Oryzias latipes: one gene and its partners. The protein of the gene in region 3 binds, or shares a complex with, the protein of the main gene of each other region. Links are inferred from orthologs where the notes say so. Each region holds a gene or a part of one and is shown on either strand. Other genes may lie near its edges. The genes, in order: polr2k, gtf2a1, ercc2, ciao1, mms19, mnat1 and gtf2e2.

Evidence for each region.
Region 1: ercc2 (region 3) and polr2k share a complex: the UniProt entries of both Homo sapiens proteins name them as parts of the TBP-based Pol II pre-initiation complex. The link is inferred for Oryzias latipes from reciprocal best matches to the Homo sapiens genes ERCC2 and POLR2K.
Region 2: ercc2 (region 3) and gtf2a1 share a complex: the UniProt entries of both Homo sapiens proteins name them as parts of the TBP-based Pol II pre-initiation complex. The link is inferred for Oryzias latipes from reciprocal best matches to the Homo sapiens genes ERCC2 and GTF2A1.
Region 4: ercc2 (region 3) and ciao1 share a complex: the UniProt entries of both Homo sapiens proteins name them as parts of the MMXD complex. The link is inferred for Oryzias latipes from reciprocal best matches to the Homo sapiens genes ERCC2 and CIAO1.
Region 5: ercc2 (region 3) and mms19 share a complex: the UniProt entries of both Homo sapiens proteins name them as parts of the MMXD complex. The link is inferred for Oryzias latipes from reciprocal best matches to the Homo sapiens genes ERCC2 and MMS19.
Region 6: the proteins of ercc2 (region 3) and mnat1 are in contact, whole or in part, in a crystal structure (PDB 6TUN), measured with the Homo sapiens proteins. The link is inferred for Oryzias latipes from reciprocal best matches to the Homo sapiens genes ERCC2 and MNAT1. Residues at the interface, in NP_000391.1 of Homo sapiens: Lys274, Tyr285, Ala318, Val319, Pro320, Gly321, Ser322, Arg324, Thr325, Glu327, His328, Arg334, Arg335, Glu338, Gln363, Arg364, Val365, Cys366, Gln368, Lys370; in NP_002422.1 of Homo sapiens: Val68, Glu71, Val72, Arg75, Lys76, Leu79, Arg85, Glu86, Leu92, Tyr95, Asn96, Asp97, Leu99, Glu100, Glu103, Glu104, Phe107.
Region 7: ercc2 (region 3) and gtf2e2 share a complex: the UniProt entries of both Homo sapiens proteins name them as parts of the TBP-based Pol II pre-initiation complex. The link is inferred for Oryzias latipes from reciprocal best matches to the Homo sapiens genes ERCC2 and GTF2E2.

Annotation. Positions count from the first base shown.
Region 1 is NC_019869.2:7,013,761-7,017,962, reverse strand, and holds the start of polr2k (DNA-directed RNA polymerases I, II, and III subunit RPABC4), read right to left. Parts: upstream 2,801-4,202; 5' UTR 2,687-2,800; intron 1,622-2,686; 5' UTR 1,544-1,621; intron 1,461-1,543; exon of another isoform or gene 981-1,460; intron 677-980; exon of another isoform or gene 571-676; intron 1-570. UniProt on the Homo sapiens protein: DNA-dependent RNA polymerase catalyzes the transcription of DNA into RNA using the four ribonucleoside triphosphates as substrates.
Region 2 is NC_019882.2:4,171,033-4,175,071, forward strand, and holds the start of gtf2a1 (transcription initiation factor IIA subunit 1), read right to left. Parts: upstream 2,801-4,039; 5' UTR 2,592-2,800; coding exon 2,562-2,591; exon of another isoform or gene 2,525-2,561; coding exon of another isoform or gene 2,519-2,524; intron 1,283-2,518; coding exon 1,181-1,282; intron 1,071-1,180; coding exon 902-1,070; intron 811-901; coding exon 746-810; intron 325-745; coding exon 249-324; intron 173-248; coding exon 51-172; intron 1-50. UniProt on the Homo sapiens protein: TFIIA is a component of the transcription machinery of RNA polymerase II and plays an important role in transcriptional activation. TFIIA in a complex with TBP mediates transcriptional activity.
Region 3 is NC_019871.2:4,138,871-4,141,662, forward strand, and holds part of ercc2 (general transcription and DNA repair factor IIH helicase subunit XPD), read left to right. Parts: coding exon 1-29; intron 30-94; coding exon 95-263; intron 264-1,710; coding exon 1,711-1,829; intron 1,830-1,917; coding exon 1,918-1,987; intron 1,988-2,427; coding exon 2,428-2,497; intron 2,498-2,779; coding exon 2,780-2,792. UniProt on the Homo sapiens protein: ATP-dependent 5'-3' DNA helicase. Component of the general transcription and DNA repair factor IIH (TFIIH) core complex, not absolutely essential for minimal transcription in vitro.
Region 4 is NC_019867.2:18,361,328-18,365,532, forward strand, and holds the start of ciao1 (probable cytosolic iron-sulfur protein assembly protein CIAO1), read left to right. Parts: upstream 1-1,405; 5' UTR 1,406-1,681; coding exon 1,682-1,820; intron 1,821-1,930; coding exon 1,931-2,079; intron 2,080-2,148; coding exon 2,149-2,260; intron 2,261-2,351; coding exon 2,352-2,440; intron 2,441-2,609; coding exon 2,610-2,805; intron 2,806-2,896; coding exon 2,897-2,966; intron 2,967-3,968; coding exon 3,969-4,203; 3' UTR 4,204-4,205. Other genes in the region: tmem127 (transmembrane protein 127), read right to left, coding at 1-138, 218-382, 474-711. UniProt on the Homo sapiens protein: Key component of the cytosolic iron-sulfur protein assembly (CIA) complex, a multiprotein complex that mediates the incorporation of iron-sulfur cluster into extramitochondrial Fe/S proteins.
Region 5 is NC_019877.2:1,649,447-1,653,734, reverse strand, and holds the start of mms19 (MMS19 nucleotide excision repair protein homolog), read left to right. Parts: upstream 1-1,488; 5' UTR 1,489-1,596; intron 1,597-2,303; 5' UTR 2,304-2,327; coding exon 2,328-2,415; intron 2,416-3,641; coding exon 3,642-3,690; intron 3,691-3,783; coding exon 3,784-3,884; intron 3,885-3,954; coding exon 3,955-4,040; intron 4,041-4,116; coding exon 4,117-4,191; intron 4,192-4,288. Other genes in the region: ubtd1 (ubiquitin domain-containing protein 1), read right to left, coding at 999-1,068. UniProt on the Homo sapiens protein: Key component of the cytosolic iron-sulfur protein assembly (CIA) complex, a multiprotein complex that mediates the incorporation of iron-sulfur cluster into apoproteins specifically involved in DNA metabolism and genomic integrity.
Region 6 is NC_019880.2:12,052,980-12,056,479, forward strand, and holds part of mnat1 (CDK-activating kinase assembly factor MAT1), read right to left. Parts: intron 1,104-3,500; coding exon 951-1,103; intron 565-950; coding exon 491-564; intron 1-490.
Region 7 is NC_019859.2:11,937,016-11,941,213, forward strand, and holds the start of gtf2e2 (transcription initiation factor IIE subunit beta), read left to right. Parts: upstream 1-1,398; 5' UTR 1,399-1,620; intron 1,621-2,309; 5' UTR 2,310-2,314; coding exon 2,315-2,474; intron 2,475-3,268; exon of another isoform or gene 3,269-3,919; coding exon of another isoform or gene 3,920-4,198. Other genes in the region: smim18 (small integral membrane protein 18), read right to left, coding at 3,920-4,198. UniProt on the Homo sapiens protein: Recruits TFIIH to the initiation complex and stimulates the RNA polymerase II C-terminal domain kinase and DNA-dependent ATPase activities of TFIIH. Both TFIIH and TFIIE are required for promoter clearance by RNA polymerase.

The DNA of each region.
Region 1 (4,202 bases), on a different chromosome or scaffold from region 3:
TCTTACTAATGGAGCAATGTGTTTTTCTGAGTAAGTTGATGATGCTGATCGCTAAGCTAACACTTTTAGCCATACTAGCATAACTTTCATTGTTAGCATAATTAGCATCTTAAGCAATGTGTTTTTCTGAGTGAGTTGATGATGCTGATCGCAATGCTAGCAATTCTAGCCAAAATAGCATATCTAGCAGTGTTAGCATATTTAGAGTCTTAAGCAATGTGTTTTTTCTGAGTACGCTGATGATGCTGATCGCTAAGCTAGCACTTTTAGCCATTTTAGCATAACTACCATAGTTAGGATGGTTAGTATATGCATTTTTTGGGTGGTGAGGGCGGCTGAGCTGCATAGAGGTGGGCAGCGATAGCGGAGGTGGTGTGTAGAAGCGGGTAGCGCCTACAATGCCACGTACGGCTTTAATTTACATCTATAATTTTGTCTGCTGTGAGTTTTCCTGAAACTTTTGCTATGAACTCTATTAAAAATTGTCATATATTAGCTGGATGGTTCATATTAAGGGCTATTTTTATTAAAACAATGACACAAAGTTAGGTGAAATTGTTTTTTAAAAGAGAAAATGAGGAACGCTTCACGAATTTGCGTGTCATCCTTGCGCAGGGGCCATGCTAATCTTCTCTGTATCGTTCCAATTTTAGTATATGCACTAGAGAACTAGTGCAATGAGCCAATGTCTCGGAGTGCTTTTTAAACCCTCCCCTCTGCTACTCTTCTCAAGCATGAGGTGTGATCTGAGGGAACACAGTGGACTTTAAAGGGAACCACAATTAAGACAAAACACCAAAAAAGATCCTCTGTTTCTCCCATGACACAGGATCGTCTCAGGTTCACCATCTCCATTCAAAGTTTGACTTAAATGCTTAAATCAGATTAAAATTACATTTTTTCTGACTTTGTGAGAGACTTCTTGGAAGGATTCTGGGAAAAGAAGGGGGGTTTTGTCACGTCAGACGAGTGCGACTGGTTTCCCGGAAGCGCCAGAACAAAAGGTCGAGTCAACACCCCTCCAGGAGGACCTTTACCAACCCCCACCGCAGCTCCAACCAACCCCCATGTGCTGATGGTTACACACACAGGGGTGGAGACTCTTTCAGACAAGGATCTGTGTGGAGAAAGAGAAAACTGGTCTGATCGCGTCAGACTGACGTCATTCTGCTGCTGCCTTCAAGCAGGAAGCCAAAGCGACGACTCGCTGCAGAAAGATCAGCTCAGAGACGAGAGTCTGTGCTTCTGCTTCCAGCAACAGGACGAACAGAACTCACATGGACCTAAATTCAATAAGAAGAACCCATCAAAGACCAGGATTATACACTTTCATTGGTGCGGAGACGATCCTGAGTGGCTTGCTTCCCTGTTGAGAGCCTGTCGGCTCCTGGTTGAACTAAATTCTGACCATTTCCTGCTTTTTCTCCAATATGCTGCCTCTGAAATTCTTTAAATACATTGTGAGCATCTGTGAGGTAAAATTCTACTTCAAAAATCCTGTTTCTAAACACAAAGATACAGTCATGTTTAATGCAGAAAATACCTGCTGTAGATCTGCCACATGGTGCCGCTGTTTCACCGCTCCACCTGGAGATTCATTACATGGAAGCGTTGCATTCAACTAAAATAAAGAAACGGTGGATCTTCATTATATTTATTCTGTGGAATTTTGTTCCAGTATTTCAAGAACTATAAAGGCAAATAACTTCATTTGCTCATCAAACATATAAGATGAGCTGCAATTAGAAGTTGAGAATGTGTTCGTGTCACAGACACATCCGGTCACCGGTCTGCTTTGTTTTTTTCATACTAACTTTATCCACAAACATGACGTTGGATATAGTTCTATTGACTAGTGTAAACTTTTTATTTGTGTCTGTGGTGAAGCAGAAAACGAGTCACAGCCTGAGTTTACTTCGATGTGAAGCTACAGAGGCAGACGGGGACCGTCAATAAAGTACACCAAAACACCCCAGACAAACAATAGCAGTTTCTCAGTAAGTCAACATAAATAACCTCTAAAACATTACAAGTACTCACTATTGTTCAAACAAACTCCACATAAATCCATACTATTACTTTATTACTGCTTTTCTTAGAGTGAACCAGCGTGTTGGAGTCACCCAAGTTGTAGACGTGTCCTTATCACCTCGCTTTAGGACAACTGCCGTAGTCCTAAAAAAACAGTGATCAAATGATCAAATAACTGGACCTTTTCTACGCGCTTTCTGGCCGTCCAAATGCAGAGAAATTGACGACAAACACCCACAGTCAGCAATAAATAAGAAGTTTAACGTTATTTACTGGAACGGAATGGAAATTTGGTGAAATTAGCGGGCCAGAAACTACTTTCAAATCCGCCATTTATTTAGATTAGAGCTTTGAACGTTAGCAACAATTAAATTTGTTTTTGTTTTCTACTAATAACACATCATTAAACTGTGTTTTCGACAAGACGAGCAACACATCTATTCCGTTATCTCACGAAAGCAGTAGTTATAATCTCGTAATATCGACTTAAATCACTCCAGAAAGTGAACTAATTGAGCAAACACGGCGGCCGTCGTCTTTCGTTTCCCTAAAAGCTTTGAACAATTTCTTTGATCTTAACCGCCACGCATGAGCTGCTCGTCTTCTCATGATTGTCGCATGTGTGAAGCTCAGAAAGCAGAATTCTGCTCCTCACCGTCGTTTGGACTCAGGTTGTTCGGGAGAAGTAGGACACGGAAGCACAAAAGCCGAACCCAGAGCGGTTCTGATCCGAACCTTTCACGCTGGAGTCCAGTAGGTGACTAGTCCGAGACATTCAGGGAACGTCCGAAAAAGAAAATCTCTCTTGAAAAAGTTTAGGAATTTAAAAAACAATAAAGAAAGCACAAGTAGGATTTTGTTTATCTATAAATGGACCCCCCCCACACACACACACACACTATAAAATCATTACTTAAATAAATAAAACAATAAACTAAGAAATGAGGTTTTTAAAGACAAACACAGTAAAAACATTGATTTCCACCTTTAATGAATGTCTGTGAATCGATCAATCGATGACCTCACGCGTTCATGGTTTTCATCCATTTACAGGTTCTTTCTGTTGAGAGAAGAAGTGAATCCCTTCCAGTTGTTTGTTTCTTTAGAAGAATCAGCAGCAGAGGATCTTTATGCTGCAACCGCGCACAGCGGGCCGCGAACTCGGGAGCTTCTGCACGGCGAGAGGAAGTCTTCCTCCGACGGGCCTGATCAGAGTGTTCCAACTTCTCAATCAATCAAATGGCCAGAATTGTTCCAATTTCTAGTATCAAACTTTGCTGTGTCCAATCAGAGAGCCGGATTCGTTCCAATTCCTTCAAATAACTGCCGGTTTTCCATTATTTTAAGACAAATAAATAGTTTGCATTATTTCAAGTGTCTAAAAGAGATTAATGTATTTGTGAAGAAGTGAACTCACGTTGTTACGTGTGTTTTAGTGAAAAAGGAAAAGGAAAGAACATATTTAATACAAAGTTTGCAGGCGGAGATGATTTTGTTTTTACAGGGAACGTTTATTTGCAATAAAAGTAGAATTGAAAAGAAAATATCAAGAATAAACTTCTTTTGAATCAGAACATTTTTAATAATAGGAATATTGTTTCCACAGAAAACTAAAATGTGTGCAGAGATTTAAATGGAAATGAGATCCAGCAAAGTACCAGGAGTGAAGAAGCTGAGAGGAGATTTCTCCGATGATGCTGTGATGATGAACCTGCTGGTGTTTCTGCGGCAGATCTAACCTCTGTCATTGTTCACCAGCAGAAACCTGGAAAAACACAGAACGACCCACTGACTGACTTTGGATGAAGAAAGAGGAAGACTCCCACCAGCTTTCATGGGAGAAGAAGGTCCAAGGTGAGGCAGGTCGTCAGTCTTGGGAAGGGATGGGAGAGGTGGAGTGGTGGATTCTGGACCCGTGCAGAAGCTCATGAGTTCATGTCTCACTTTGTACACTCAGACTGAAAAGGTTCAAATCATAGAAATGCAGGAGAAATCTAAAAGATTTAGCAAAGTATTTGCATCTCTAAATACTTTGAAATTGGGCTGATTTGGTGGTGAGAGATGATGCATTGAATCATTTGGCACAAAGAGATGTGAAAGTACTGAGTAAACAAATTGTTTTGTGCTTTTTTTCAGACTTAATCATCGACAAAACAAAGCTGCAGCTGCAG
Region 2 (4,039 bases), on a different chromosome or scaffold from region 3:
TCCCAGACTGGTTTCATGCTCAAAAGGATGACCTCACACATGGACTGTACCTGCTGTATAATGGGGGCCTGCACGCCGCCAGGCTGCATCTGATTCTGCAGGACGATCTGCTGCTGAGGCTGGATGATGTACTGAGTCCCGTTGGGAGCCCGGACCACCTGCAGGAGCTGACCTGCATCAACAGGAAAACAAAAAAACGTTTTGAGATCCAACCACGCTAAAGTCCAAAGGAACGGTGAGAGCTTTACCTTGGCTTGTGATGAGCTGTTGGTAGGGGGTGACCCCTGTGGGCAAAGCAAGGGTTGCTGCAGTGGCTGCTGCGGTCTGCAGGAGGAAACACAGAAAGCCGCTCCAATTATACCAGAGCACAAAAAGGTGGATTTTCTAGGTGATAAAAAAAGAAAAAATCTTCTTTTTTCTTTTCATTTAAGCCTTAAAGGTTTCAAACATGGTCCATCACTTAAGGAAAAGCTATAGCGGCGGCTAGGTTTCAAGCTCAAAAAGACAGATGGCCTCCCCACAAGAAAGCTTTTCCCTTTCTCGGTTTTGTTCTCCAGGTCCTTGTTGAGAAAAAAAGTCCTCTCCCAAAACCCACAGCCCGGCTAGTTTTCCTAACCGTCGCTTCCTTGATACTATCCCAGATATTCCCCGGGTGGATTTGTGCGATGACAAAACGGGACGTTTGGGAGAATTTTTGGTTCTCAAGTGTGGCGGTGCAGTTTTCAGCTTGTAAGATGCTACTCACCATTCCCGTTGAATTCATGTGCTGTATCATTTTAGAGTCCTGAACTATGACCTGCTGCTGGGGAGCTGTTGAGAATAAAACACATTATTTCAGGTTGAAAAAAAAAAAAAACAACACACGTCCAGGCGACGTTTGTATGTCAACGTGCGGACTCGCCTTGTTGCTGCGAGGGAATCTGGATAACCTGCTGGGCCGGCGCGGCCTGGGCCACCTGCTGGGCCTGTTGGGAGTGCGGGTGCTGCTGCTGAGCGGTCTGCAGGGCCGCCTGCTCCTCGGTGTGGAAGCCCTCCACCGCCTTTGACTGCAGCAGCTTGTTCTCCCACAGCTGAAAGACAAGACTCCAGATGAATCTGACCAAACACGGAGCTGCATGTGTGTGTGTGTGTGTGAGGGGGGGGGGTTATAACCTTCTCTCAGTAAAATGAGACGGATTACCGTTTTCAGCTCCAGAAGAACTTGCTCGTCCACCCCTTCATCCAGGAACAGCTCCCGCACCTCATTGATCACATCCTCAATAACAGACTTGTATAATTTAGGCTATGATGACAAAACAGAGCAAATACACAATTTATTGGTGGTGGTTTCAACATATATAAATGTTTACAATAAATGTAGGAAAACACTCATAAAAGAGGTGTTAAGTTTAAACGGTCACATCTTGTGTATATGGATAGATTATCCAAACCCATATATAATAATCTGCACTGATCCATTTGTCAGCAGGACTAAACGCGTCCCTCGAGACAGAGCTGCACGCGCGGGGAACTGTCACGGACAACATTCTGGCTTCTACGCAGAACGAGAAGCGGGACACCGAATGTCCGTCTCTCTGCTCTCCTCCCCGTCAGCTCCGGCACTATTTAAAGCGCAGTCTGCTGTTTATGTGAAGAACCGGTGACGTAGCGTCGTGTAGCACCGTCCCATCCCGGGCAGTCTATATTAGACGGCCAATATGGCGGTATAAAACCAGGCAGCAGAAAGGAGGAGGGCCAGAACCGAGAGAGGAGACGAGGAAGCCATTTTACAGAGCGGCAAGCGCGCGCGCGCCTCTTTTCCCTCCTCGACTAGCAAGATATGGCGGACTGAAGATGACGGTTTCGGTGGTTTATCTCATGAAAGGATCCGTTTTGACTAAACATTTTTGACTGGAGCGGGACATTTGTTGCGTTGAGGGTGATTTGGGACGGCTCTCCTGCCCTCTGGTCGTGGAATGGAGGACAATGAAGAAGAAGCAGTTGACAGAGCGTTCAAGACGCCAAGCTTTTAATAAAATTTTTTTAGCTAAATTCAGTCGCAGTGGATGGTGCATATGTGCTTTGCGTACATCAGTTTCCCTCCCCTCCAACAGTTATGCGACAATAAGTATGACATTTTCCCCCGTGTAAACAAAAATGAGCACCCCTAACTTAACTAGTTAGCTAACGCATTCAATGCGGATTTCAACTCAATTTAGCTTTAAAAAAATGTCCAGAAGGTTTTCGGAAGCACTTACGTTAACAACTAATACCGTATAAACAGGCAACTTTTAACTTTAAAATTTATTTTTGATCACATTTAATTTAAATATTTAAAGAGATTCGGGTCCTACAAAAGTAATCAGTTCTATAAGCTCTTTTTTCATTGAGTTTCGAAAACTGGTATAAAAAAAATGACCGTGAGTATTCCTTTGAATGGACATAACGGTGTTGGTAAAACTCATTTTTACTGTAATGAATAAAAAAAATAAATTAAAAAAAAAAACAGATCGTTGACACGTTTTTCCATCAACTTTACCCCCATTTTCCCCCGTTGACAGTCCTGAGAGATTGATCCTTACCACTGGGTTCGAGTTTGCCGAGCTCGCCATTATACGCGTAGTGTAAAAACCACACGGAAATAGGCGAGAAACAGTGCCAAAAATTAAGAAAAAAGACTTAAAACAACTGGGAAAGGTACTTTAAAACAGCCGGCATTACTTTTGTAAATAAAACACAGTTTTAACGGTCTTATTTACAATCCCGGGCTGCGACTCCCCAGCCGTCCTCCTTTCGTCGTTGTCCTGCTTTATATACTGAGCGATGGAGCTGCGAGTGCGCGAGACATAGGGCAGGGTCAAAAGGCACATAGCGCGAGATTTGCCACAAAAAACGATGACTAATCACTGACGTCGTGCTGGGAAATGTAGTTTAAATTGTAAATTTCACAATGCGATTGGATACTTAGCTTTTTAGATTTGTTGGACAAATTATCCAATTGTTAACCATGATTACAATTACATTGTTTTTGTTTGTGAGTTTGTATTGTGTTGAGAATGTTTACAAATAGAGGGTTACAAGTTTTAATTGATTTAACTTTTTCAGCTAAATCGAGATTTTTCCTGTATAGTAAATTCTGTGTTGTATTCATTACTTTTATTTTATAACGAAAAGGTTCAAATCTGAATCCAAAAGCCCGATTTATTTCTATGTTCCTTGTAGTATCGTTCTACAGCCACAAGAGGGCGATAAGACAACATCACATGAAAATAACCTGTGTTTCACTGGAGCTTTGAGACGGGCATATTTTTCACATGCAGCGTGCTATATGTGATCTTTAATTAAGAAGATCTGTGCACATTTGAAGAAGTATTTAAGATCATATTCACTTGATCCAAAAATACACAACCAAAGGGAAAATCCTTAAAAAAAAGCTTTGCAATAATTTCGTGTAGACATTGTTAACTCCACTTCAGTCTCCATGGAAACTTGCTTCCCTGGCCACTCTGTGGATATAGATGATATAGACTAGGGAAGACTGTTTGCATCAATCCACAAACAATTCAGTGTTTTCTGAAAACTGTGTTTACTGAAATTATCTAAAGAAGATGTAAAAAAAAGAGAGAGAGGGTGATCTGACCCTGCAGATCACCCTCTCATGCTTCTATAATTACAGGGGAAGCAAAGTTCAACGTGATCAAAAAGCAAGCGAGTGATCCATGCTATGAATGTTTGGGATGTGATCATATATGCAGGCTAGGGCATTGCTGTCTTTGAGCTTCACTCCGGTGTAACATTAGAGAAGCATGATGCCCTCTAAAGATCTGGAGAATGCACACTTTACCCCCCCCCCCCCCCCCACTCCCTACTCCCCCTTCTTTGCTGTAGTTGCATAGCAACAGAGGAGCTGCAAGCTCCAGTTGTGTTGTGATGGGAGCGTGCTGCACAGGGAGCCACTGGCTCAAGATTAAGCCGGTCTCTACTTCAATTATGAATGGGCTTCCACCGCCACACGGCTCCAAAATGGCACCACTCAGACTGATAAGACATTGAGGAACTC
Region 3 (2,792 bases):
TCCGGTTTTACCTGATGAAATCCTGCAAGGTTGGAGCTCGGTCTGGCCGTGGGGTTCTGGTTTCAGAACTCAGACTAACGCTTCTCCCCGCCAGAGGCCGTCCCCGGCTCCATTCGCACCGCCGAGCACTTCCTGGGCTTCCTGCGGCGATTCCTGGAGTACCTGAAGTCCCGCCTGCGGGTCCATCATGTGGTTCAGGAGAGCGCTCCCCAGTTCCTTAAAGACATCTTCGAGAAGGTCTGCATCGACCGCAAACCTCTCAGGTCAGTCGGCTTCAGGTCACACGGGGGAGGGGCCGCAGTTTTCTCAGGAAACACGGATTTTCTGTTTCACCATTTAGAGCGTCGGTATCATTCAAAACCAACTTTTAGGTGTATTTTAATGTTCATTCCTCACAATAAACAGTATGTTGGTCCGTTTACGCATTTCTGAGCATTCCTCTAAAAACCTGCAGCTCCTCCCAACCAACGAAAACGGGCGGGTCTTCGCATTGTGACATCACAAAGTGAGGACCAGCCCCTTCCAGGAAGAGTCTGCAGTGCCAGCCCCGCCCCCAGGCTAACACACACGCCCACTTTCTCCGTGGAGCTAGCGGTGATCGTCTAAACGCTTTCCTTTTTTATGAACATATGCACGTCCATCTTTGCAAAAGTTCTGCCGAGGCGTCTCGGATGACATCATCACATAGGCGGCGCCCACAAAGAGCCGACCTTTTTGTATAAAGTGTTGCATGTCAGCACAAGACTTCTGTTCACCGCACCAGAATCCGCTGGAATTACGATCATTGCGTAAACGGTTGAAGAGTTAAGGTAGTCAAAGAAATGTAAAGATTGGAGCTAACGCTCAGCTGTGAAAAGGTTTAAAAAAAACCTGCATGCGTTTCTGCTGCTGCTGTTTGTGAGAATCGATTTGTGGAAACGTTCTGGAGCTCAATCTGTCTGTCCTGTCCATCTAATATCGGCCGTGTCTCACAGCCGCTGTGGACGTTTTCGTGGTTCATACGTGATGGGAGTTTCTCGTGTTCCTCATTTGTCGACGCGCGCAGACGTCAGTCAAGGATTTCAGCCGATGGATTTTTACCAGAGTTTGGTTTTGAGCTGGATGAGAATTACACAGTTTCTACGTATCTTAAATTATTACATAAATCTTACACAACTGTGCGTGATTTTTGCGAGATTCACAGATTTGTTGCTTTCCGCGACCGTTCCACGTATGTCTAACGGACTTTTCAGTATATATATATATATATATCAGGTATACGGCGCACAAATCTCATTAAAATAGCGTAATTGACCCACAATTCACTAACGAATTGCATCTAAACAGCTCAATAATCACACGGTTCATGCTCTACGTTGATTAGCGTGGTTCATTCCTGATACATCTGTGCAAATGTCACCTAAAGACTCAAACTTCTCTCACTTTTTCCACACATATGACCAATTTTCATCTGTGCAATATGCACAAAATGTATGTAGTTGCTGTGTGACAGACTTTTTAATCCTGTCTATACAGAAATCCAAAGCAGCAGAAGAACCGACTCGTCTCATCCTGTGATGATGTTTTTCTCGCCCTCAGAATCTTGAAGTTATTCTTTCGTGTTTATTTTCCACAAACGGACATCAGACCGTTCTGTGAAAACCTCTAGGGAGCTCCGTTTCTCCTCCTTCACCACTCACCTTTATTTATTTCTTTCCTTCGCCTGCTCAGGTTTTGCGCAGAAAGGCTTCAGTCGCTGCTGCGAACTCTGGAGATCGCAGACATCGCAGACTTCTCCGCCGTCACCCTCATCTCCAACTTTGCGACTCTCGTCAGCACCTACAGCTTAGGTTCTGCTCGCCTCAGATCCCCGCAGGAAGCCGGAGGTCCGGATGGGCTTTTCACCGCAGACTGTGCTCTGTCTTCCTCTCCCTGAAGGTTTCACCATCATCATCGAGCCGTTCGACGACAGAACTCCCACCATCGCCAACCCCGTCCTCCACTTCAGGTAGAAATGCTTCGTTTTTCTGCACGTTTCCCTCTGGACTCCCGGCTGTTTACGTTTTTATAGAATATAGATGCTATATAGAATATAATTTATAAAAGATGTATAATAGATGAGAAACTCCAGCAGAAAGTGTCAACTCTGAGCCTTTTTAACCTTCAACAAGTTGCAGGTAAAAATAAGTTTTCAGCACAAAAACCCAAAGAAAAAAAGTCAAATTTCAAATTTTTGATTAAAAGATCCACAAACCAGTTTCAGCATCAAGGATAAAGAAGCTTTTACATGGAATCATGAGGTTTTCATCATTTTTGGGACAAACATGATGAAAACCTCAGAAATCTGAATAAATGTTGGTCCCAGTTCAACATTGCAAACTCATGACAGGAAGTGTGAAGTGCTCAAAGCCGCTGCTCCGGTTCTGATCCGGTTCTCTGCCCTCACAGCTGCATGGACCCGTCTATCGCCATCAAACCCGTTTTCCAGAGGTTTCAGTCCGTGGTCATCACGTCCGGGGTACGTCCGTCCGTCTGCACATCAGGAAACGACTAAATGGAATATTTCAATAAACTTCATGATCTTTCCATTTTCATATTTTCTGTTCAGTTGATTAGATCAGAAAAAAGTCAAATGTTTGAGATATACTAATTTAATCAACCTGAGACTTTCTGCTTGTTTATGTTCCTGATTTTACTGTTTATTTATTTATTTTTCATCATAAATTCTTAATTTCACTATAATTGTCGTTTTTTTCCCCCCATGTTTGGGGTTTTCATGGAGTTTTCCTCCTCCCCTCAGACCCTCTCCCCTC
Region 4 (4,205 bases), on a different chromosome or scaffold from region 3:
CACCTGCCACCAGGTAGAAGCTGATGGCAAAGGTGACGTAAATGAGAGAGCCATGGTACTTTTTGTGTTGCTGCTGCAGTGACAAGATCAGTTCCGATGCCCAGTAGCAAAAGCCTATGACTGTGGCACACTGCAACACTGGAAAGACAAAGAAACCAGTTACATTGTAGCAATGTGTTTGATCTTTATTAGAAATGAAAACAAGCACTGTAGATACCTGTTAGTATATGTGCAAAAGCATATCTGCGAGTTATCTTTAGGGCAGGGTGTTTGGGTCCAAACACATCCAGGAGGAACGCAGTTAGACTGCACAGGATGCCAAGGAAACAGAAGGCAGCTATTACCCTTAGCAGCAGGATGGTCTGCGGATTCACACAGTAATCTGAAAAGACAGACGTGCCACAAATTCATATAAATTAAGGCACTCCATGATCCTCAGCTTAGAGTGGCAACGACTTTGTGCTGGTTCTTACCACCCAAAAGATTGGGATCAACGTATCCCAAGACATCTGCCACCCCGAGTTCTTGTCTCGGGCAGGTGCCTCCGTGAATCCGGAGCCAAGCAGGTTCAGCCAGAGCCGTGCACAGCGCTGTGATGGACAAAGCTCCGGGCAGGGCCGACACTAGACTCCGCTCCGGCTGTTTGGGAAGTGAGGTACCGGCTCTCCTCCTCCGACCTCCGGAGACAGCGGGACCCGGTGGGGCATACATAGCTGACCGAATGGCGAATTTTCTGTTGAAGTGGTAGGTTCCTCTTAGCACTGTCTTCCTCTTGACAGTAGTACCGGGTTATTGTGGTATTAGAGTAAAACTACGGCAATTGTCTTCCAGGATATGTCAAAGATTTCGGTGGCGATAAAAGTGCTCAACAATATAAAAACAACAATAACCGCTTCCCTAAAGTAGTCAAAAAATATTAAGGAAAAGCCAACACAAAGAACAGATCCTAAGCGGGCCTTTAGCTCTGTTGTTAGCCTCTGAAGCTAACTAAAAAAAATAAACACTTTACGTCACCAGTTCTCGGAGGAAAGACACTTTTTAGCGAACGAATGGGAAAAAATATAACCTGTAAACATCAAATCCCGCTGATAAAACCGTCCGTCTCTATGATACAAAAAGGAACACAAAACAAAACAAAAGATAGCTTACGCTGTTTTCCTCAAAATCCCTAACTTCCTGTATATGCCATTCTTCTTCGTGACGTTTAGAATGTTTGCTGTACACTACCGCCCCCAGCGGAAACTAAAATAGAAATGTACACAATGTTTAGCATGAAATTTTCTTTGCAAACAGTAATGTAAATATAGATTCATATTATAAAAATACATATATAGGTAGATCACTTTCTTTAAAAATATATAAATGAAATATTACCATCAAAACGTTTTATTTTAGATCAACCCATAATGCACCGGGTCCAGATCCCGATAAGCAAACATGGCGGCATTTCCTAATTTGACGCTTCTTTGAACTTATCTGTGTGAACAATTTTCCTTGGTTAATTTCCCCCTCCTTTTGTTTTAATGTTCATAAAGGTGTATTAATTTACTCGCAGTCCTCTTGTCTGTCGTTTTCCTCATTTGTGACTCTTTTTAGCCTAAATCTTTGGTTAACGGAAATCGAGAAAAGTGTCGAGTCGACGCCTGACAGACAGAGGAGTCACGTTTGCTGGAGCTCTGCCATGAAGGAGGCTATTTCTCTGGTGCAGAAACTCAGCGCACACCCAGATTCTCGGTGCTGGTTCGTCAGTTGGAGCCCGAGCGGTGCGCTGCTGGCTTCGTGTGGTGGCGATAAGGCCATCCGGATATGGGGACAGGAAGGTCAGACTCAGACAGACAAAGAGCCTTCTATTCGAATTTTGCTACGCCGATTTAAAATCAGTGGTTGGATGACCTTACCTTTTTTACAGTTCATGTTTTCCCTTTTCAAGGTGACTCTTGGGTTTGTAAAAACGTTCTGCAGGACGGACACCAGCGCACTGTGAGGAAAGTAGCCTGGTCTCCCTGTGGGAACTATCTGGCCTCCGCCAGCTTCGATGCGACGACATGCATCTGGAAAAAGAAGAACGACGACTTTGAGGTAAGGTTCGTTTAACCTCTGATCTAACACGTGTTCTGGCTCCACCTGGACTCTTTTCTTGTCTTCTAGAGCTTAACTGTGTTGGAAGGTCATGAAAACGAGGTCAAATGCGTGGCGTGGGCCCCTTCAGGGACTTTGCTGGCCACTTGTAGCCGAGACAAGAGTGTCTGGGTTTGGGAAGGTTTGTGTCCTCACCAGCTCTTGCAGGACAATCCTTTGTCACAGAAAACATATAGAGCTGGGTTGTAAACCTTTGTTTTCCTTCTTCACAGTGGACGAAGAAGATGAGTACGAGTGTGTTACAGTGGTGAACTCGCACACACAAGATGTAAAGCATGTTGTGTGGCATCCCACGCAAGAGGTAGGTCTGCACTCAGTCCTTCACCATCATGTAGTTGTTTTATTATTGTTGCTATTAATTGTTAAAGTGCATCTTTAGCCATATTTATGATCTACGTGCTGTTTTTAATAGAGCCATGGTAACGACGTTTGTGGGATCAATAAAGTTGTATTTTATTCTATTTCCGCAGCTCTTGGCTTCTGCCAGCTACGACAACAACATCTGTATTTACAAGGAGGAGGATGATGACTGGGAGTGCAGGGCCACTCTGCAGGGACACACGTCCACCGTCTGGAGTTTGTGTTTCGACGTGACGGGACAGAGGCTGGCGTCTTGCAGCGATGACCGCACTGTGAAGATTTGGAAGGAGTATCCAAGTGAGAGTGGTGAGAAGATAGAGGGGTAGTTTATGACATAAATAAAAAAAAATAGGATATTTTTTAATCACAGAATGTTTTGTTTGGTCTGCTTTATTAGGTGATTTGTCATGGAAGTGCGTTTGCACTCTGTCGGGTTATCATGGACGAACAGTGTACGACATTGCCTGGTAAGACTAAATACTTACACTACAGCAGGGGTGTCAAACACACGGCCCGCGGGCCTTATCCGGCCCGCCAGGTGGTTTACTCCGGCCCACACATGAAGAGTAAAAATCAAAAGGATGATTAAAAAAGAAAGCAAGTTTCTAGTCCATTCCTGTGGCGAATTATGATTTTTTAAAGAAATAACAGAAATGTGCAATTCCGCCACTAGGGGGAGTAAAGGAAAAGAAAAACAGTTGAAACAGCAAATATCTGCATGTGCCAAAAGCGAAACATAACAGCTCTGCGTCTGGGTAGGATGCACCTTGGTTCCCTATGAGCCTTACCGCTGTTATCTTGCTATAAGGATGATCATTAGCGACACCCTAATGACCAAAATGCTGTCAAACGTGAAGTGGAGGGAAGAGCCTTCCAGGAAAATTGGACAGAGTTTTTTCTTTTTTTCACGAAGCTGAATGTAAAACCCAAATGCTTTGTATGTCATCAACATCGCAGTGCTCAAAGAATATGACATTCAGCACCACTAAGAGACTTATCATAAAGAAAAGTTTCTGGATTGCTTCAGTGTCAGATGTAAAATATTCAGACTGCATTAATTTGAATAGACCAACTTTTCTTTAATTGAAATTAATTTTATTTGAGCTCCATTGGCCCCAAGTGATTAGGCTACTATGTTGATTGAGACATTTTTTCCAACTGAATAAAAAACTAAAACAAAGCTGTTATTTTGCTTTTATGTTACTGGTCCGGCCCACTTGAGATCAGACGGGTTAAATGTGGCCCCCGAACCAAAATGAGTTGGACACCCCTGCACTACAGTCTGGTGTCTGATTTTTTTTTTTTTACTTTAAAAATAGATTCTATTTACAGAGTTTTTAAAAAGTTGCCAAAACAGATTTTCTTCTTTGCTTTTTTGGCTGTACCACCACTAAAACAGCGCTTGTCATCAGTCGGCTGAATCTTTGTCCCCTTTACTATTATGGCTCAAACAACTGTCTGTTGCGTAGGTGTCGACTGACCGGTGCCCTAGCAACTGCCTGTGGCGACGACGCCATACGAGTGTTTAGGGAGGATCTCGCGGCCCATGCAGATGAGCCGGTGTTCTCGCTGGCTGCTCAGGTGAAGAAGGCTCACTGTCAGGATGTGAACTGCGTCGCCTGGAACCCAAAGGAGGCCGGCCTCCTGGCCTCCTGCAGTGATGATGGAGACATTGCAATTTGGAGGTTTCAAGAAGAAGACTGAAC
Region 5 (4,288 bases), on a different chromosome or scaffold from region 3:
CTTAAAGAAGCACTGCCATGAAAATGGAGTTTTAAACGTGTTCTTGTAGCATCTTTTGATGATGGGAGGACAAATGGAAAGAAAATGAAGCTCAAAATTCCGTTTCTGAGTGTCTTCTTTATTCAAATCAATGCAAATCGGGAGCAGACGGAAAAAAACGTGGTTTGGAAAACATCGTATTTGTGATGAAGAAACAAGCTTCCTGCTCCGCCCCATTCTTAAGCATCCACCTGCATGAACGACGAACGTTTTATTTTAAAGAACTCCTGCCACGCCGCAGGAGCTCCGATCAAAGGTTCAAATGGAGAACATTTCCTTCAAAGCAAGCTGTTTGACTCCCTTTTGTTTTTTTGCATTTGGCCTCACAGGTCGACCGTCCTCTACACTCTCGTGTGCTTCAACTTCAGCCGGACCTTTCGCCAGGTTAAGAGATGCACAAACATGGAATAAACAATAGGTTTTGAACTTTCTATACACGCATTCTACAAATAAATGTGCGTTGAGTGTGTATGTATGCACTGCAGAAGATTCCCAAACTTTTGGGCGGATTACAGACAATACTTGTGCAAACAAAGGAGAGCAGCTATTCCACCACTTCTTATGCAGGTCAAGGTCAAACGCAGAGGAGGCCACGTTCCTGTTTGCACCCTAAAACCAGCGTTCAGAGGCGCTGCTGCATCACGTGATCACGTGATCCATTCAGTCACAGGTTCCTCAGGTACCAGCTCACCTGCACGCATTCAAATGTGTGTCCTTTCCGGGTTCAAGTCCAACCAAATCAGCTAAAGCTCGTTTGCATAGTAGTTAGGGTCAAACAACAGTGTCAGGTGTCAAATAGTTGAAGATAAATGTCAAATAAGAACATAAATAATACCCCCCCCCCCCCCCCCCCCCCAGGTTTAATTAACCTACATTTAGCTCGTTTTCTTGTCTTTTTCTATGACTCTGCTGCATTTGCTACTCTAAAGTGTCATATAAACAGCAAACTCCGAACCCACCGTTCCCGGACGAACCTCGGCTCTGTGACTCGTCCCAGCCTCGCCAGTACCTCCCCACGCATCCTCCCATGGCCGGAGGGGCTGTGGTCGCTCCCCGCGGGGCTTCACTGGCTTCCAACGGGGCCCATGGCGACGAAGAACCGAGTCCGGCGAAGATCAGAACCCGCAGGTGCAGCGCTGCTAGCCGGATATGTCATCCGGTGACAACAAGGCGGTGAAATCCGGTGGGAACCGTTAACAACTTTTTTTCTGTTGTCTGAATAACCGGTAAAGTTCGGTTTAGTTGCAACTGTAAACAGAAAAGCTTTCTTGCTAACAGGCTAACTGGGCTAACCAGCTAGCTCCGCCAGAAAACACAAACTTCCGCGTGCTCGATGTCATTTCCCCGAGTTTTATCTTCCCTATAAAAGGGTCTGGAGGTAGAGCTTCACTCGGAGCTGAATGCAGAACCGTATCACGCCCTTCACGCGCTCCCGGACTACTTTTCTTCAAAAGACTTGGAAAAACTCCTCACTTTCTGTTGCTGCTGGTTGAGAAAGTGTTCAGAAACGAGCTAAGGCAGGCGAACTTTTCTGCACATGCGCAGACAACCAGGCAGGTGGGTCTGAAGGAAACGTAAATAAATGATAGCAGTGACGTCACAATAATGGTTCAAACCGTCTTTGATATTAGGAGAGAAAAAACAATACACAATGACAATAAGTACATTTTAAAAGGGCACAAAGTAAAAATACTATCAATAAAGTACAGATTCTTATGAATATTTCACTTTTTTGTAGGTATTTTTCAAACTTATCCAAACAAATTAGGATTTTTCCATATAGTTTAAAAAAATACTGAACAAAAACGTGTGAATTCCAGTTTATTATAACGTCACATGAAAACTTAGATAGAATGAATGCAGTCATACGATGAACAAAAAAATATTTTACGTAGTTTAATATCTTCTGGGATTTTAATCCAGATCATGTTATCAAACGGTTTCAGCTTTTAGTCCAGCTTGAAACATATTTCACTGCTTAATTAATGCACTTATAAAAGTATGACATCTCCAATAACACCTTTATGACCAAACAAAAATGATCAAGCTTAATAAATTGTTACATTTATACTTGTTTATGTTTTTTGAGATACTTTGAATGTAATGGTGTCTTGGACATAAATGTGTCGTTCTTTTGTGTAAAATCTCTATATTTATTTTATTTAAAAGCACAAACAATATTTTTTAAAAATATATTTATATTTTTTCTTAACCAAGAAAAAAAAAGTTGGACTTTGGCGTTTGAACTTTCTGCACATGCGCAGTGTCAGCAGCGTGGAGGAAGCGCGATGGCTGCGGACGGTGCCTTGCTGCTGTCTCTGGTGGAGGAATTCGTCTCCGGATTGCAGGACAGCAAAGCAAAGGACGCCGCTAAAGGTACAGCAGTCGTGTCCGGTGTTTGTCCTCACATTTACCAGCGGGTTTGTGTGGAAAACTGAGCTGGAGCCGTTAGTTTCCCATAAAGGTGCGTGGGGGTTAACTAGCTAAACTTAGCGTCACAACATCCTGTGCGGGATGCTGCGTGAGAAGCTCCTCCTGACACTAAACATGTCATGAATCTGCCCTTTTTCCGGGGCGGCAGGAACTCGCAGCTATCTTTGTTTACTGAAACCATGACTGTACCTGCAGTCTGCTGTGGTCTCGTGCCTGCTGCTAGCTAGCTGCTGGCTGGGCGCGAGGAGGATCCTGTCATTGAACCCTCAACCCCCGATTTACCTTTGATCCCGAGTTTGTCTGTGTGGGCAAAGCAGGGAAACACGTCCAGACTACCGAACCGATTCGGTTCCGATTCAGCACAGACCTGATAACTTATGACGTATCAAATTAAAGGAGTTTTAATTATACCCAAAGTAAACAGAGGGGGATCTTTCAAAATAAAACGATCACTTATGTCAATCAAATTTACTGAAGTTTGTTTTTCCCCTGATACTATATTTATTTAAAGGCTGTTATGACGGAATACTGAGGCCACCATGAAAGAAAAGCAAATATTTGACAATGAAGTTGTAACATTATAAGAGAAAAGTTCAAATTTTTACAGGAATTCAGTCGTGAAATTATGAGGAAAAAAGTCCAAACTTTATTATGAGAATTGAACTGTAAAATAATCTGAGAGAAGTCTAAATTTGACGCAAATAGTCCTAAAATTTTCCAAAAGAAATGCATATTAAATCAGTTTTTAGTTTTTTCCTTTTAAAATTCAGACTTTTATTTATTTACTTATTTGAAAAAGTATGACTATTTCCTTGCAATATTGCAACTTTTGAAGTAAAACATTTACAGCTTTATGTTAGAAAATTGTCGTTTTCCCTTTTTTTAAAGTTTTTTCTTGTACATTTTTTTTCCTTGTAAAATTTTGTCTTTATTTTTCTCAGAATTGTACAACTTTATTCTATATATGTACTCATTGTTTCCGTTACCGTGGTCCTATTTGCACGTAAGGCGGCGGGCGCGTTCTTACTTCGACCTCCACTGCAGCGGCAAAGGAAAGCGATAAATACGCTGATGGTTCACATCAAGCAGCCAATCAGAATTGAGACCCGGACCGTGGTATAATATGGATTATTTAAGCTTTTGTTGACATATTATTGATTCTTGCTCAGGTGTCAAAGATGGAGCGTTTACAGTTTTGCAGTTAGTGGAAGCGTTGGGGTGAGCCTTTGTCTTTTTCTCCTTTACTTTTTTACAAAAACACAAAAAAGTGACGCCGTTCTTGTTTTCAATCGACTTCCCGTCCACCCGCAGGCCCAGCCTGACCAGCTCGCAGCCGCAGACTCGCGCCCGCGGCGTCCAGCTGCTCTCCGAGGTCCTACAGGACGGCCGTGCAGAGCTGTCGCAGAAAGAAGGTCAGAACACCAAGCCTTTTCGTCTGCTCAAAGTGAGGAGCGTTGTTGACATCCTGTTGTCCCATCGCAGTGGAAGTGCTCATGGCTTTCTACCAGAACCGCCTCAAAGACCATCACGTCACCACTCCGCCCGTCCTACGGGGGCTGCTCGCCTTGGTAAACTTGGGGGACCCGGTTTCAGACGGAGGCGCTGCTGGAGCCTCCTTGTAAGTTTGTGTTGGTTTCTCCTCAGACCAAGTGTGCGGCGCTGCCTCCCGGCTCGGCCGTGTCCATGCTGAGGTCGCTGTTCCAGGACGTCCACGTCCAGGTGAGGTTCTCCATGAAGAAACCAGGATCTCCTCCACTTCCTGTTTTCCGGTAAAGGTCTGCTCCGTGCCGTTTGTCTCGAGGTCTATCTTGACGTT
Region 6 (3,500 bases), on a different chromosome or scaffold from region 3:
CAGGTTACTTTAAAAAAAAGTCTTAAAGGATTCAACAGAAGTTTGACTTCATTTGGAGGGTTATTCTTTCATCTGTACTTGGTGACTGTGGTGGTGTCTGGACAAATAAACGGATTTGAAAATGTGTCCTCCTGGGCTTTGGGAGGCTGTGATGTCTTAATGGGTTAAAGCTTTCACAAATGTCTTCTTAAAAATAATAGTCGATGGTTAAAAAGAAAAAAGCTTTTGAGTGGTGCGAGCAGAAGCACAGGTGTTCAATGGGATGAACAAATTAGCATTAGGAGTGACAGGCCAACCTGCGCTCTGCCCTCCCTATAATGACAATCTACAAAGTCCTCAGAGAACTGCCAGTCAAGACGTGTCAACACTGGCAGAGGTGCTCCCTAATCCGTGCCCCTGGCTGGCACTAATCCCTTTAAAAACACCCCAGAGTGAAGGAGAAATAATAACACTTGTTTTAGGAAGAGCCTTTCAAGCTGGAACCCCTTACCTATGTCCTCCACTTGCTCCAGATAATCGTTGTATTCTCTGAGGCTTTGGAAGTCACACTCCCTCTTGTTGTAGCTGCAGAGGAAGAGTAGGAACAGCGATGTAAACAGTAAAACCTAACGAGAGCCGACATTTATAGCCTCCATTAAATCAGCCAATTTTAATACCATTTCTGCATACCACCTGAATGACACACATTAGAACATAAATTAAGGGGTATTATATAAAAAAAAAGAGCGAATAAGAGGGGAAGAGCAGGGCCAGGGAGGGGCTGCGAAGTAAAATTTGGCAGAGAAAGAGCCAACCCATTTGAAACCCCCCAGGGAGACTCATTGTCTACAAAACAAACAGTGTAATGACAAAGACAAAGGCAGTTTAAGAAATGGGAGGAGGGATGGTATAGCACATAAACACACAGAACCACACCCCTTCACCTCACAATCTCAATCCCCCCCACTCACATTTTCATGACCTTCTTTCGAATTTCCACCTCCTTGTCAACTGTCGGATCCTCGAAGAGCTGCACCCGAAAGTTGTTCTTCCTCAGCGGCGTGTTGCATTGTACACAGTTGCCGGCGCCGCGCACAAACAGCATCTCCACACAGTTCTCACATCTGTGCCAGACAAGAAAAAAATAATAAAAACGTGTTCATATCCAGCAAAGCAAGACGTTCCAGAGATGACCCACCACAGACGACGGCGTTACGCGTGCGTGTGCCCGTGTAAGGAAATGCTGGGTGTTTTTATGTTTTGATAAGCATCATTAGGCTGAATGGGTGATTATGGGGCATTAGGATGTTTCCTCGGAGTGCTTAAAGATGACTGGGATTATGACTGGAATGTCACTTAGGATGACTCAGACTCTAAAACAAAAGGAAAAAAGTCTCCCAGCCAATGGGTAGCGCGCTTGTCTGCACTGGAAAGATGTTTTTTTCACAAACTTTAGCCTTTCTACCAAATTGCATCAAATATATAGACTATACTTGTGTTAAATCAGGATTCTTTTTTTTTTCCTGGTACATTTTCGCATTTTCAGCAACATCCACATTAAAAATTACACTATATCTTATTTATAAATGCTTTACAAAATGTTTAATGCTTTTCCAACTTAAACAATCATCCATTTTAATCAATATAATTGAGAACAAAACAATCTATTTACATATGAGGTCAGAAAAACATGTTGGTGTTATACAGTTCTGTTTCTATAAGCAAGAATGGCAACAATAAAGTTTTCTTTAACGTATTAACTCAGATAAAAAGAATAAAGTCCAACTATACGCATTTTAACTTCAAGAATGTTGCATTCATGCTCTTTTTTCCCCCTCCAGTTTGGTATCACTGCTTATTTTCCAAATCCACTTACAGAATTATGATTCAGTTTATGATACCATTCAATATCAGGATCGTTTTCACATTCTAAAAAACTCAAATCTAACATGCAAGGATACGAGACATCCCAGATAACTGTTTCAAAATAAACAAAGGTGGGACTTCTGTTACTAAAACTGAACATTTATTCACTATTAGTTTGTAAATAAAGACTGATTTAAATTGAATATTTGGAATATTATTTCCATTTAACACTGATGTCAAGCTAATAAAAGGAAAACATTTAGTTAAAACATTAAAATTAGATCATTGTGAAATGTTCTCTTGACTGAAGTTATACTGACAGTTTATTTAAAAGATATAAGAAAAGAAAAGTTTCACAATTAATATAAAAGTTCACTTTTTTGTTACTTTTTGAATAAAACATTCACTGGTTAAATGTATTGTTTCCAAATAGATAACGTCATAGATGCTGTGCCACAAAATAACCCCATGTGTACATTTCCCATAAGCCTTAGTGGTTATATCCTAAATATGTGGACATTACAACCGCAGCACTCTGTGAGCTGAAAGCTTCTCAGCATTCTAAACTTCCCTCACTTTTTTCAATTTATAACAGATTTAAAAGCTGAATTTAGAATCTAGAAACTCAAGCAGAAAAATAGTTAAACAGTCAAACTACCTGTAAAGATAAAACTTAGTTCCCAGTCTTATAACAAGCTCTCTAATGGCCTTCACAATGTGTTTTTTTTTACTCTGTGCAAACATTGTCTAATATTTTAGATTTTGTCTACATTTCCAAGATAAAAACAGCCACTTTATTTGGTACTTGTGATTTGGATCAATTCCAAACAATAAACACACCAAAACTGTTGAAACAGAGACGAGGATTTTTCAGCTCAAAGTTTCCTTCACTTTACTACGATGGCAAACTCTCTGACAATCAGTCAGTTAGCCTACCTGAGGCAACACGCCTGAGGCTATTCATCAATCCTACCTTCATGCAGGCAGGCGTTTACCCATTAAACATACTTAAAGGAAGAGCAGACAGCAAAGATAATTGGGACTGTCCCTTAATTCTCCCCTGAACAGGTCAGAGCTTGGATAAACGTATGCACTGTATGCTCTGCATGAGCTTTTTTGCCAAAGAAATCCACCTTGCTGGACCTTGTGGTTTCCTGATCTGCCTCTGAAGATTGATGCTGCAACAAAGCGAGTTTAAGGACTACAAGGGAAAATGTGTCGCTGGCCGCATGGCTTTCTAACTCAGATGTTCCCAGGGGAATGTGTCTTTCAGAGGACTATGATCATCATGCAAAACTTTTCACTTCATCAGCACAACTCAAAGCTAAATCAGCTAAGGAAGAAAGTGCAGAGACTGGGAATTTGTCTGTTTACACCTCGCGTTTCTCATAAGGGTCAAACAAGCCCAACCTGCTGAGTGTGACGCCAAACCTTTCGCAGCTGTACAACAAAAACGAAGCCCCACAGCTATCACGTCCGATTTAGCTCGGCTTTGATGAAACATTAAAAATGAAAGCTAAACTACTGAGAGGGACATGTGTTCTGTCCAGTTGGTGCCAGTTGGAGCCCCCACTCAAGTACACTTTGGAGGAGGCAGATGTTCACTGGAGCCTCGGGCAACAGGAGATCTATGGGACTTGCCATATGGAGGTAGA
Region 7 (4,198 bases), on a different chromosome or scaffold from region 3:
GAAGCCAAATTCCTTGTATATGCCCTCATTATTCGCTAATAAAATTGATTACTAGTCAGAGAAAAAAAAGGGAAAGTAAAATTATTTTTAGTATTATTTCTGTTTACAGTTTGGGGTTTGTTACCTCCAAACTGTCACTGTGTCAGAGTTACACTGCATTACATGACTTTATTACTTATAAAGTAATAATAAAGGGAAAGTAAAATTATTTTTAGTATTATTTCTGTTTACAGTTTGGGGTTTGTTACCTCCAAACTGTCACTGTGTCAGAGTTACACTGCGTTACATAACTTTATTACTTATAAAGTTATGACTCGTAATCAATTATTACTTATAGCGTTCTTTGTAAGACCTACAGAAGTAGAGGAAGTGACAAGGTACTGTCAAGCATTTCACTCTAAGACAAATGGCGATAAGCTTTAATAATCATTAAGTGAAAGTACAGGAAGCAGAATCACAGCTTTTTGTTGTTAAAATAAAACTATGAGTCATCTACCTAAATGGATAACAGAGTGACAGGAGAACCGTAGGGGTCTGTTTACCTCAGGAAAAGTGGAGCTGTCTATTAAATAATGATTCCAATCACCACACTTTGTCAAAAATAACTGATCAGATACATTTTTTTCTTCAAGAAAAAAAAAAAAAAAAAGATAAACACATTTGTTCAAGAAATCAAAAGTTAAATTATTGTTTCTAAGCTAAAAGTGATGAACCATGAGTTTATAAAGATATTTTTAGCAGAGTTTTTTTGTTCATGTGTTCTCGTCTCATTACTAAGTATGTAATGACTTTAATGTCATAGTAATGCTTTACACCCCTTTAGAACTGCAAAAGGTATGCTATCGTAATGTATTTTGTAACTACGTGCTGTAGGCTCCTCTACAGTAAAAAGAAAAAAAAAGGCTTTAAATTAAAAATATTATTCAAAAATAAATCCTGGAACTTTATTAACATTTCACTTAAGTGTTTCATCTTTTAACAAGAAATGAGATTAAACTTTATTGGTCAAAGCACAAAATTTGGCAAAGAAAACTTGTAAAGATTATGTTTATAATCGAAATGGCAATCACACCACAATGCAAAACAGAACATATTACAGTCAGGTGTTGGAAATAATACTTTTAATGTCTTATTACAAACTGTTGGTTATAATAATATCCAATAATTTTCAGTTTAAAAACTGAAAATGTTGGGGGAGAAACATTTGCTGAAACTATTTAATTGTTTTTAAACGTTCCGGCAAGAATTAAAAACTGTGAAACAGAACACTCATTATTTTAGCTATAGTTTCAGAATCCCTAACCAAAATAGCTCTCTTGCCTGAAATAAGTTGACTGTCCTCCAGTCCAGTAGGTGGCGATGTTGAGCTACACAGCTGCGGGTTTTTGCTTGCACGCGGAAGACGTCACCCAAGGAATAACATACGATAACGATAACCGACAACTCGAACACTAAACGAAACAGTTACATGATGGATACAAAAATAATACTTTTTTATTAGAAAGTAAGCTTGAGTTTACTTAAGCTTAAAATTGTCTTTCTATTTCACTTTTTAGTTTATAAATTAGTCTATCGGGACTTATTCGCCACTTTCTGGAAAGAAGAACTCAACAGTAGCAGGTAACGTTGACATGCTAACACTAGGATTAGCATCACATTAGGTGTTAGACAATGCGGGAACATTAATTAGCGGTTATGTGGGTCATGCTGTCACGGGATTCGGTTCTTTGGGGAAACTGGACTCTAAAGGTTCATCTCGATGACTTTTAGCTGCTTATATGAAGTTTTTTTTTTCCCGATAAACTGAAGAAGAAGCTAATCGGACAAACAGCGAACTTCTGTTATATATATGTTTAAATATGTTTTGAGTTGAGTTTTTAGTCCACTGTTTCTGTATTAAGTGTATTTCTTTGGTCACTGTTAATGTAGTAATTCCATGTCTTTGGCCCATATTGTCAGTAGAAGAACCGAACACAATTATTTTTGGCACAAATGGAACACCGTAGTTTTGAAGAACAGAATCCTGTCGTGTCAAGACAATGTTTTAACATCAAATCTAGTTACTAATAATAATCCTTATGCTCTACTTAATATTTGAAGAAAAAATAGTAAAACAGCTGCATCACTGATTAGATTGAGAAAAGAACCAGGTAAACATACCAGGTATAATAGATATGCATGGAGATGATGCACCTCACTGTTTCAGTATTATATTTATTTCATAAATTATATTTAATTTAAACGTTTGAAGCTTAGTAAAACTGCATTTTATCCAGCCTTTTCTGTGTTTACATGCTTTTGTCCACCAGCCTGGATGGATCCAGCTCTGCTTCGCGAGAGGGAGCTGTTTAAGAAAAGAGCTCTCTCCACGCCGGCTGTTGAGAAGAGACCAGCTGCATCAGACTCTGGATCCCACAAGAAGAAGAAGCCCAAGTTAGACAAGGAAGGCTCCTCTGGCTCCAAACACAGCACTGGTAGGTCATGCTTTATATCTGGTTACTGAGCTTCTCCTGGACGTGCCACAAGCTGCTCCGCTCCATTCTGATAAACCCACTTGCAGACAAATGGATCCATGTACGTCTTTGTTTTCCTCGCCTGGGCTGCCATCTGGCGTAAACCTTAAGTTTGCTCACCAATGTTGGGTTGGGTGTGTGAGAGGCTGTAAGCTTATGAGAGAGGATATGCAGAGAGCTCAGTAATGGATGACTGGAAGGGGGGGTAGGGTTGCTCCTTACAGCGCCGCTGGTCCCACTCGCAACTCAGGTGAAATTCCAATGAACTACTGCCACCCTGCAGAAACTATGTCCTAGAAAAACGACCCAGATTTTTTTAATTTTTAGCTAAAAATGACCTTCTCCTAAGTAAAAGACCAATGGAAACGCTTTCACAATAGATCAAAATATGATCGGAGGGGGTCTTTGAGTGAAACTGGCAGATTATTTTTAAGGATTATGTTTTCTTTCTTTTGTTTGGTTTAAATGTTGTTGTTTTTTAATGGATGGATGATGTAACACCTAGGCAATCAAAACTCATTCATCTGTCACTCATAGGTTATTCTGAGTCAAATATTTGAATAATTACGAAAAGCAAAGTGGTCAAAATTCTGCTGTCATTGCTTTTTTTTAAAGGTGTGCACAGATCAAAAAATGACTTCTAACATTTTTATAGTAAATATAAATAAAGCCTAAAAGAATTCTTTGGATGAAAGGACTGATTCATAAGAATCATGAAATATAGAGAAAGAAAATTCAAACTCTTTAACCAAACTTTTTGTTAGATCTCATTTTTATTGATTTTCTTTAGTCTTTTTATGTTTGTCTTCATGAAAATGCCAACATACCACATTGACCAACAGCCGTCCAACGCTAGATTTTATCACTTCATTTAGTTGCTTTTGGAAAATAAACGTCTTCATCTGTTAAAAAAGTTTCAGAAATGTCAGATTTTCCACCTGGTAACATGAGAGTGGCAGCTGATTTCTATACATCCACTACAAACAATTACAACTTTCGGCTCGCCTTAACATCCATTTAAATGAATCATGTTTATTTATAACAATTCTTTTTTATCATACCACAATGTTTTTAACCCAAAAGAAAAGATTTCCATCAACTTTTATCGGGTTTGTGGGAAGCCAAACGAAAACCTTTATTGTGTCTACAAATTCACGACTGTGTGTTTACCATAGAAGAACGGCAAAAAAACACAAAACTAAACAAAGATGACATGAGTCTTTAAAGCCCTAACTCGGCAAACGTTTCTGTGTACAGAATACTCTGGAACATTGATTCATTTTTTTCTTTGCCTCTGAATTGGATGCATGCAAATAGACAGTCTATGGTATCAGGGGTGCTTGTTTTGGCAATAAATTGGGCATCCCAACCCCAAACTCTTCCATTTTCCTTTGTCTGTGCTGCTGCTATACCACCTCCGTGTGGCTCTCCAGCTCCTTGCATGTTCTCGTCATGAGATTGCTGCAGCTTCCCGACCTTTCTTGCTGCAACTGGTGGCGCGTTTTCCCTTTGGCGCAGCAGCCGCAGTCCAGTAACTCGTAGAGAACGGCCAGAGCGGCCAGGGACAGAACGGTGAGGATGAAGAGCAGGAGGATGACGAAGCAGGCGACGTTCCAACCGTCGTGGAAGGGGTAGACTTCCTGTACCTGCAGGGAAACGTGGGACATGGGGATGGCCTCGGGGAG